Linked DNA regions of Canis lupus familiaris. The protein of the gene in region 1 purifies or fractionates together with the protein of each later gene. This does not show direct contact. Links are inferred from orthologs where the notes say so. Each region holds a gene or a part of one and is shown in the gene's direction. Other genes may lie near its edges.

The links.
Region 2: the proteins of ARPC5L (region 1) and ACTR3 purify together in Homo sapiens (affinity purification with mass spectrometry; 6 studies listed by BioGRID and IntAct, counting the BioPlex papers as one, with this or other methods). This does not show direct contact. The link is inferred for Canis lupus familiaris from reciprocal best matches to the Homo sapiens genes ARPC5L and ACTR3.
Region 3: the proteins of ARPC5L (region 1) and ARPC3 purify together in Homo sapiens (affinity purification with mass spectrometry; 7 studies listed by BioGRID and IntAct, counting the BioPlex papers as one, with this or other methods). This does not show direct contact. The link is inferred for Canis lupus familiaris from reciprocal best matches to the Homo sapiens genes ARPC5L and ARPC3.

What each region holds. Positions count from the first base shown.
Region 1 is NC_049230.1:58,227,425-58,229,976, reverse strand, and holds the end of ARPC5L (actin-related protein 2/3 complex subunit 5-like protein), read left to right. Parts: coding exon 1-163; intron 164-1,440; coding exon 1,441-1,503; 3' UTR 1,504-1,986; downstream 1,987-2,552. UniProt on the Homo sapiens protein: May function as component of the Arp2/3 complex which is involved in regulation of actin polymerization and together with an activating nucleation-promoting factor (NPF) mediates the formation of branched actin networks.
Region 2 is NC_049240.1:36,560,863-36,564,249, reverse strand, and holds the end of ACTR3 (actin-related protein 3), read left to right. Parts: intron 1-146; coding exon 147-230; intron 231-1,501; coding exon 1,502-1,597; 3' UTR 1,598-2,738; downstream 2,739-3,387. UniProt on the Homo sapiens protein: ATP-binding component of the Arp2/3 complex, a multiprotein complex that mediates actin polymerization upon stimulation by nucleation-promoting factor (NPF).
Region 3 is NC_049247.1:8,502,111-8,505,768, reverse strand, and holds part of ARPC3 (actin-related protein 2/3 complex subunit 3), read left to right. Parts: intron 1-597; coding exon 598-697; intron 698-3,003; coding exon 3,004-3,122; intron 3,123-3,658. UniProt on the Homo sapiens protein: Component of the Arp2/3 complex, a multiprotein complex that mediates actin polymerization upon stimulation by nucleation-promoting factor (NPF).

The sequences.
Region 1 (2,552 bases):
CGTGGTGCTGAAGGTGCTTACCAACTTCAAGAGCAGTGAGATTGAGCAGGCTGTGCAGTCGCTGGACAGAAACGGCATTGACTTGCTAATGAAGTACATTTATAAAGGGTTTGAGAAGCCCACAGAAAACAGCAGCGCTGTGCTACTCCAGTGGCACGAAAAGGTATGTGAATGCACCGCCCACACGGGTGGCCTGCTGACTTGCCCCCACCCTGGGGTTCACGTGCGCAGGCCAGAGGACAGTCTGAGAGGCATGAGAGAGTAAGGGGCTCCACGAACAGCAGTGTAGGACGACTCTGGCCACTCACTTCTTCCATAGAAGCACCTGGTAGGGTTCACTGGCTTTGGTAATTGGAATTGCTTTAGCTGCTGATTTATGCCAGGCGTGTCATGGGCACAGGTGACTTGCATGGTGAGATAGACAGGGAGTCCCAGGTGGGAGGGAGGCAGGCTTGCTTGTGGCTGGGGCTTCAGAATACTCTCTTTGCGTCAGCGAAGGCAGCTGCTTCCCGTTGGTGGAGATGGTGGTTGGGGAGGGTCTCAGGAACGCAGGCTGAGCCCCCAGCTGCCGCTGGGAGCTTCCTGCTCTGGCCTCATCCTCACTAGGCCAAGCAGGCAGTGGCAGAAGCCTGGCTTTCACCGAATAGGGCCTTCAGCCACCTGAGGCACAAAAAGCTGTGCCTGTCCTTTGCTCAGGTCGATACAAGAGCAAGGCATTTCATCTAGCCTGTGTCCTGCCTGTGTGCCAACGTCCCCCGGCCCTGTAGAGGTACAGGAAGCTTGCTCATCATTATAGCAGACCAGGCTAGTACTAACACTGCGTCCTTCCAGAAGGCTCTGTTGAGTTTTGAGGGGTCAGCCACTTGGGCAGCCTCGGTGCTAGGCTCTTCTGGTGGCCTCTGGTCCTGTTGCTGGGTGTGCTGGGCCTGCTCAGCCGGAAGGTGAACTCTCCTGGGCTTGGGGAGGGTGTGGTGGCTGTGCTACTCGGAACTGAGCAAGCCCTCTGCATGGTGTGGAGGCCAGACCCTGTGGTCCCTGGTGCTGAGCCCCACTGACGTTTCTAAGGAGGGCCTGGGGAGGCAGCTGGAATGGGCTCATATCTTAAGTGTCCAGGGTAGTGAGGGCAGCCTGGAAACAGCGTCAGAAGGGAGGCTTGGGGGGAGCTGTGCTGTGTGTGTGTGCGCTTGGTAACCATGTTCCCAAGCCCAGTTCTGCTGCTGGGAGCCAGCAGCACTTCAGGAGCCTTGGCTCCAGCTCCGTGCTTAGGATGTGGGCTCTCTTGCTACCTCCTAACTGCTCTTGCAGGAACCCATTTCCAGAGGATCGGTGACATGGTGGGACCTAGGTCCGGGGGTGCCAGTCCCATCTCCCCTGGCAAGCCGGGCTACCCCTTGGCTAGCCAGGTTTCATTTGACTCCTTTCCTTTTCCTGCCCCCACAGGCATTAGCAGTAGGAGGACTAGGCTCCATTATAAGAGTTCTTACAGCAAGAAAGACTGTTTAAAAAAAAAAAAAAAGGACTCATGTTCCCTTGAGAAGAATTTTGGATGCACAGGCTGATGAAGAAGGGATTGACAATGGACCATCTTCCTAGGAACTCCCAACTAAACTATTTCAGGACATGCATCCGCTGAAGTGTATTTTATTTTCAAGGTGGAGGGAGAAATTGTTTCCTAAATCCTTTGCAGGATCTGATAGTCTATGCCTTTGTCCATGAGTAACACAGAACTGACATCGTAACTGTCTCCTGGAGTGGCTGGCCAGCGTTGGTCGGGGTACCTGTGTGCTCTGCCTATTTCAAATGGGGGAGGGATGATCGGGCACATACAGATCCAAGGGCTGTGGTAAAAGGGAGAGCTTGTTTTTTTTGAAGTAGTAAAACTGAGGGTTTGTACAGACATCCCGTTTTCCCAGAGAAGACGGGCTCTCTTGGGTTCATTGTAAAGTGCCTGCTGCATCAATAAAGCTCTTGGCTTATTAGTATGTACTCCGTGGTGTGTTTCCTGTATGTAAAGTGAGTACTGAACCGGATGGTGCTGAGTGAGAAACTGATGTGGGGGGTGGATGTGCCCCTGTGGAGCGTCCCACCGCCCTCCTACCGCACCAGTACCTCAGGCGTGGGCGCAGTGCTACTGGCTGCTAAGCAGACAGATTTTGCCAAGTAACTTTTGGTTTTACTCCTTTGATTTCTATGTAATTTTGGAGCTTATTTAATAAAGTGCCAAACATTCAATAATTGATCTAGGCTTTAAAAGTCTTTAGTCTGTGTGACTACACTTGGTATCTTTTGGAAGTGTACCCCAGAAGGGTGTGGTCACCATCTCCTGGCCCTGGCTTGGGCTGTGTGGCAGGAACACTTACCGAGACGCTGACAAGTTTAAATACAGAAGAAACATTGTGTTTTCTAGCCACCAACAGCCAGCTTCTCTGAAGAGCAAAGATGTTTTTCTGACCTTTTCAGCACATGGAACTGCACTTTGCATCCTTTTTTTTTTTTTTTAAGATTTTATTTATTTATTCATGAGAGAGAGAGAGAGAGGGGCAGAGACACAG
Region 2 (3,387 bases), on another chromosome or scaffold:
GTGCATCCTGCCTCTTTTAAAGTTCTAATTTACTTTTTTTTGAATATGTGAAACATTCCATTTTCAAGTATATACATTTAAGTTAAATGATACAGAAATTGTTATTTGAATTTACTGTTGAAATGCTCTTACTATGTTATTTTTAGCCAAAACCTATTGATGTACAAGTCATTACACATCACATGCAGCGATATGCAGTTTGGTTTGGAGGATCGATGCTGGCTTCCACGGTGAGATAAAGCTTACATTTAAAATTTGATTTTTTTCTTCCCAGATAAAATAATTCACCAGTACTTCTACCATTTAGAAGAACAAGGGAAATTTCTTTAAATTGTATCTGTATTTACCATGAGAAAGTTTTAAAATTGGATACGTATATATGTGCATAGTATTTTAAAAAGTAGAAGTTATTTCAATTTTATTTATTTTTTGATTGCTGGACAGTTTAGAGTGAGCATTTAGAGTTTTAAAATTTATCTGTAGGGAAAATTCTTTCAATCTTGTGATGATACAGATATCAGAAAGTCATAGTTTTTTCTGTGCAAATATTTAAAAACATTAAGATCATTGCATAGGGAGTTTGATGTTCAAAGTTTAGTAAAGTGAATTGTTCTAAGAGCCCTCTCCCCAAACCAGAACATCTTAAAACCCTTTAAAAAGAGTATTAAACCTATTAAATATCAGTGCTTTATCCTGGAAATAAGATGAAGGAGCTTTTATCTGAATTGTTGAAAATTGTACAAACTTATATTTTTAAAACCATTGAAAAATAGGAGGTAAAAGCTATTTTCTTCCTTAGTTTTCATCTTCCATTTGTGCCAAATAACCTAATGAGTTTGTAAATTTGCTTCTTGAGAGAGAAGTTAACAGAGAGAGCAAGCCTATGTCTATACCTTGAGTGAGGAAGGCAAGTTAATTTAGAAGTTTTTGTATATGACTAAGAGGAGTTTATATTTTATTTTAAGAATTTTATTTATTAGAGAGTGCACATGGGGAGGGAGTGAGGGAGCAGAGGTAAAAGGAGAGAGACTCTGAAGCAGACTTCTCAGCACTCAGCAGAGTGTCTGACATGGGCTTGATCCCATGACCCTGAAATCATTGACCTGAGCCTAAAGAATTGGACACTTAAGTGACTCCACCACTCAGGTGCCCCTTATCTATATTTTAGATTACTGCTACTTTTTTGAAGTATTGATTTATTATACAGTGTGGTTGGGAAAACCTCAGCAGAATAGTCTGAGGTGCTGAGAATCAGTTTTCAATCCTCAGAATCATGCTGAAGTAGGGTGATGTGTGTTAGGACATGTGTTAAATGCTATTTTTAATTTCTGATAAAGATTTACAGCTGATTTAAGTCGTGGTTGCTAGAATTTTTAAGCTTTGTTCAAATACTGAGGTGGGCTAATAATATACATTTTAGATTTAGCAAATCTATTTTTTAAAGCATATCAAGAGGTGGCATGTTTTTGACCTTTATAAAAATACATGTTTTTATTTTCAGCCTGAGTTCTACCAAGTGTGCCACACCAAAAAGGATTATGAAGAAATTGGACCTAGCATTTGTCGTCACAATCCAGTGTTTGGAGTCATGTCGTAAAATTGATTTCATAATTATTGGGGTTAGGGAGGTGGGGAAGAAATAATCTTTCTGATTACCTGTTTTGTCTGGATGGCTGGTTTTGAGGTTTTAAACCTGACTTGAAATAAGAAGACCAAACATAATTATACAGGAATATTTTAATAAGTATATCAACATGTGAATGTAGAGGAGAGCCAAAATGATTTAAGTGTTTTTCTTTAGACTGAATATTTGAAACTTATGTGTAACAAAAAGAAGTGGGTTTTAGTTCTTTCTGTGCCCTAATATTTTGTATATTATTGAATTATCCAAGATTTGATGGGATTTATCGGTATGTAGATAGCTCTATAATGCTTGAGTTGTACACTTCCAAGTGTGCAATGCAAGAGCTTGTTTATATTTCATACTTTTTATACTTTGAGGAAAAAGTCAAAGAAAAACTAGTATTTGAGGAAAAACAAGTGACCAAGTAAAGGATAAATTAAAAAAAAAAAAAAAAACAGCCTCATGAGGCTTGGCGTACACACACACTCATGGGATTCCAGTTATTACAAATGGCTTCCACCCCCCTGTACCCCCAATGGTTTTCTTTGCAAGTGCTTTTGGAACTAAGAAGCTAGTATCCTGGATTAACTGATGCCCGCTAGTGCTTCTGATTACTCGAATCCTGTTTCTTGCTTTAAAGGAAAAGTAAAGACAAGACTGTTGGACCAATACTGCAGTTCTGTAGTGTCATTTCTTATTAAAAATAAATAATTTGATTACCAAAATTGGTATATTTAAAGCCTAACACCATTCTAATAAAGGCACAAATTTCTTTTTAATACTTGTTTCAAGCTCTTCAATCTCTTTATAAGTTAACTAATCTATTTTCTTCAAACCTCTGCAATAGTTCTTTAAAATCACAACAGTTGGTTAGCAAGCTGACTTTTTTATGTGCTCTAAACAAATAATTGTGAACTTTTAATATGTTGACTGCTTTCATTTTGATAACTGGATCTCCATTTGATATTTTCATTTGTATAACTCATTTGCAGTCTGAAAATTTTTTTAGTGCCAGTCCCTGACATATCATGGAAAGTTAATTTTCTTTGCATTTTAAAATATCTGGATCATGAAGAAAAAGTGATGAAAATAAATTAAAACTGAATTACCTTTCCTAATGTTTTTTTTTTTTTTTCTTTTTAGAAGCAGTGTCATTCTACTTTGTGTTTATGTATTTTATATGATTTCTATTTCTGTCGGATTCATTGAAATCTCTATAATGTGTATGGTAGAAAATATCTTATGAACTTGAAATTTTACCAGTTATTTATAGAAGAATAAAATAGAAGATGTTTTATAGGCTTTTTAGAACTTGAGCATTAATACCATTGAACACTCAAACTTCATTATCCATGAAAATACACATAGGATTAGTATACTTCTATCTAAACGTTAAAGAACAAAGTGTCTTTGTTGTATTTAATATAAAGATAGAATTGGGAAGTAAACTTTAGATTTTATTTAGAATGAAACAGGATACTTAAAATTATATTAATCATTTCTGTGAAACTTTGAGTGTGGAACTAAAGAACAAAGTATATGTCCTCTGGTAGTGCTGGTATCAAAGATTTTTTTTTTCCCACTTGAAAAAGTAGTTCATGAACATGTAAAAAAGAAAACAATAAAACTATTCAAACAGTACCAAAGAGTAGGTAGTGAAAATAGGTTTCTTTTTCACTCTAGCTTGTCTTATTTTCTCATTAAAATTAGAAATGTCTTTGTGTCCTTGTAGTTTTCTGTGTATATAGAAAGAAGTATGGCTC
Region 3 (3,658 bases), on another chromosome or scaffold:
AGGCAGAGGGAGAAGCAGGCTCCCCACAGGGAGCCAGATGCAGGACTTGATCCCGGAACTCCGGGATCCCTACCCAAGCCAAAGGCAGATGCCCAACCTCTGAGCCACCCAAGCATCCCAAGAGCATGCAACTTTTGATCTCCGGGTTGTGAGTTCGAGCCCCATGTGGGGTGCAGATTATTTAAATAATTTTTTTAATTGCTCAAAATTGGGAATCCCTGGGTGGCCCAGCGGTTTAGCACCTGCCTTCAGCCCAGGGCGTGATCCTGGAGTCCCAGGATCGAGTCCCACATCAGGCTCCCTGCATGGAGCCTGCTTCTCCCTCTGCCTGTGTCTCTGCCTCTCTCTCTTTCTCTCTCTGTCTTTCATGAATAAATAATTAAAATATTTTAAAAATAATTGCTCAAAATTTAACATTCAGTTTTCTTGAGCCAGTAAAAGCCAGCTCTAGCGTATTGCTGCTACCAACCTTTGATCCTCCTCCTGGTTAGTCTTGGGTGGGTTCTTCTTTTTCCCTTTAGAGAAATGTTTCTTGTGTGCCCTGCTGATGTTTGCTCTCTTTCTGTCTCCATATTCTTACCTGGCTTGCCACTACAGGCTTACCACTCTTCTCTCATGGACCCTGACACCAAACTCATTGGAAACATGGCATTGTTGCCTATCAGAAGTCAATTCAAAGGACCCGCCCCTAGAGAGAGTAAGTCAAAACTTCTTTCTATTGTTCTCAGATTTTAGTAGAAAACATCTAGCAACTCTCTGACATTAACAAATCAGGCAAATTCTTAGCTCAGTCCTCTGTCTCAGACTGCTCTTGGATATTCTATTTGTTTGGTGGATATTGCATTCTAGACCTTTCAAGATCAGGAGTATACATTGCATCTAGTAAGAAAGTGTATTAATGCTGCTGAGTTCTTCTGAATATTTTGTTGAGAGGGATGAGGAAATATTACTTATTTTTGACATTATTCTGTCATCACTGTCAGTACTTACAAAGTGATCTAATGCTACTACTTCTGTAGGATACCATGTCCCCATCCTTTTTCTGTTGTAAGGCTGAGGAAAACAAAGAAGACATTTTAACTCCTTCCCCTGTCTGTATCTACTTCCTTTATTCATTCTTCAGGATCTTCATTTTCAGCAGTACCTGGATCTTAAGTTGTAAGTGTCTTATGTAAAATTACACATTGTTTCTCTTGCTTTTCTGAATTTTATATCTTTTCTTTTTTTAGTACTTCCCCTTTTTTTTGAAACATTTCCTTACTGTTCAGAAAGCCTCCTTCTTTTTAGACTCTTTGGATACATTCTGAGATGTTCTACCAACAGTGTAATTTATATTATAGCAGACATGGCTTCCTTGCATCCAGAAAGCATCTGCACTGAGTTCCATTCAAGGTTTTTAAGGTTTTCATTGCAATTTGCACTGACCCCATCTTCATTCCTCTGCCAGACTATTTGACGTGACCTCTCCTTAAGTTTATTTTCAACACCAGTTGAAAGCTCAGTAAACTAAATAAACTTGGTGAGTTACCACAGTTTTTACTTGATTCTGAGATGAAGAAAAAGGAACAGATGGGAAAAAAAAAAAAGATTTAAAAGAAGAAAAATAATGTAAAAGAATTACAGTGCAAAGAAAGAATAAAAAAATCCATGTTGGCCCAGATTCCTTGAGAAGAACTCTTTTCAGATCTTTACAAAATACCATGTAGCATATCAGAAGATGCAGTTGACTAGAGATGGAGTGTATCTAATTACCACCTTCGCAACAACTCGTGGGCCCTTGAGGGAGAGCAGGACCCCAAGAAACCAGATGGACATGGTTTCTGTAGACAGAGAATGACCTGTTATTCTTTCCCAGTGGACAGGATTGGAACTGAACTGGAATTATGAAAGAGTACAGGCCTATGCTGTGAGCAAAATAACTGTTAGCATTAATCAAATTCATTTCTTTACATTCATCAGACACCTTTTGAGCACCTTTCTGTGCCAAACACCCTTCTAGGTTCTGAATCTTGTAGCCCACCCCCGCCCCGTTCCTCACCCCCCACCCCCACATTGTTACATTTAGAAGAACTAGCTGGTTTTATAAACAATATGGAATCTTCTGAGGAAGTTTCCTTTTTGCACATAAGAAAATTGCAAGAACAGGAGTCTAGAGTTAGAATTCTGTTGCGTTCTTTAGCAGGGGAATGAGTAGGGTTAAAGACAGCTGAATCACAGAGTACTAAACCTCCAGGATTACTTTGCATTTCTTCTGTGTGAGAGGGAGAGCAGTCATTGGACAATATAAATAACTCTGGAAAAAAAAAAAAAAAAAAGACCACCAAAAAACTGTCTCTGCATTGCTGCAACCGGCTGCTGGATATCAAGACCCTGGGATTTTGACCTTTTTAAAATAAGAAAAGGAAAACAAAAACCTGCCAAAGAAATTGTATAATGAGATCTGTCTTTGTCACAACAGCATTTCTGGCTTTTCTCAGTCTCTCGCCACCTAGAACAGCATGTACAAGTATATTTTAAGCACGGTTTTCATAAAAAGAAAGATGTATGTGTAAGCCCAGTGTGTTCCTAAATGATAGTTGAGGGTTTTTTTCCGCCTGAAACCATAGAATATAAATTCAAATAGAATTAGATTGAATACTTTTTATTTAAACAGCATCTTATCAAGGTTTAGTCTATGCCTAAGTTCATTTTTATAAATGAACATTGAGACATCTCTCAATGTCTGGAATGATGTTCACCAAATGATAATAGTAGTTATTTCTAGGTAGTGAGATTTAGAGTGACAATAAAATGTTTTTTGGTACTGGTTAATTTGTTCCTAATGAGAATATTTTTTTATAAAAACAATAAAGCTATCAGAATAAACCATATCCTTATTTTTCTAGATATTGTTTCTAAAGACATTATATTTCAGTGGCCTCATTTTATGGAACTCAACTCCTTTGACCATGGAGCTGGGAAGTTTACTCTCTAGCTTTTTTAAGTGTTATTGTTATATTTTAGCTCATGTTCTCTGCCTCCACCCCCCTCTTCGGTCCTGTTTAGCAAAAGATACAGATATTGTGGATGAAGCCATTTATTACTTCAAGGCCAATGTCTTCTTCAAAAACTATGAGATTAAGGTAAAGTACAGAGCTTTTAATATTTAATTTAGTTTTCTGGTGTGGATAATAAGCTACCTGGTAGTCAGGGTTGTTCTGAAGAATAAATAAAATTGAATGAGATTGTATGACTTTAAAAAATGAGAATAGTGGGGCACCTGAGTGGCTCAGTTGGTAAAGTATCTGCCATCGACTCAGGTCATGATCCTGGGTTCCTGGGATCAAGTCCCACATCTGGTTCTGGGCTGAGCAGAGAGTCTTTTTCCCTCTCGTTCTGCCCCTTTCCCTCCCCTCCCTACTTATACTCTGTGCTCTCTCTCTCTCAAATAAAAAATAAATAAAATTTAAAAAAATTTAAAACCAGAATAGTGCCTAATATTAGACTCAGTATTAGTTTCTCGTTTTTCCTCCAAAGTCTATACCATGGGTCAACAAACTACAGCCTGAGAGCCAAATCTGGCCCACTGCCTCTTTTTGTTGTTATTGTTGTTAAGAGAGTATGATCAGGGGGAGCTGCATGTAGAGCATTTATGAATAAAGTTTTATTGGAACACAGC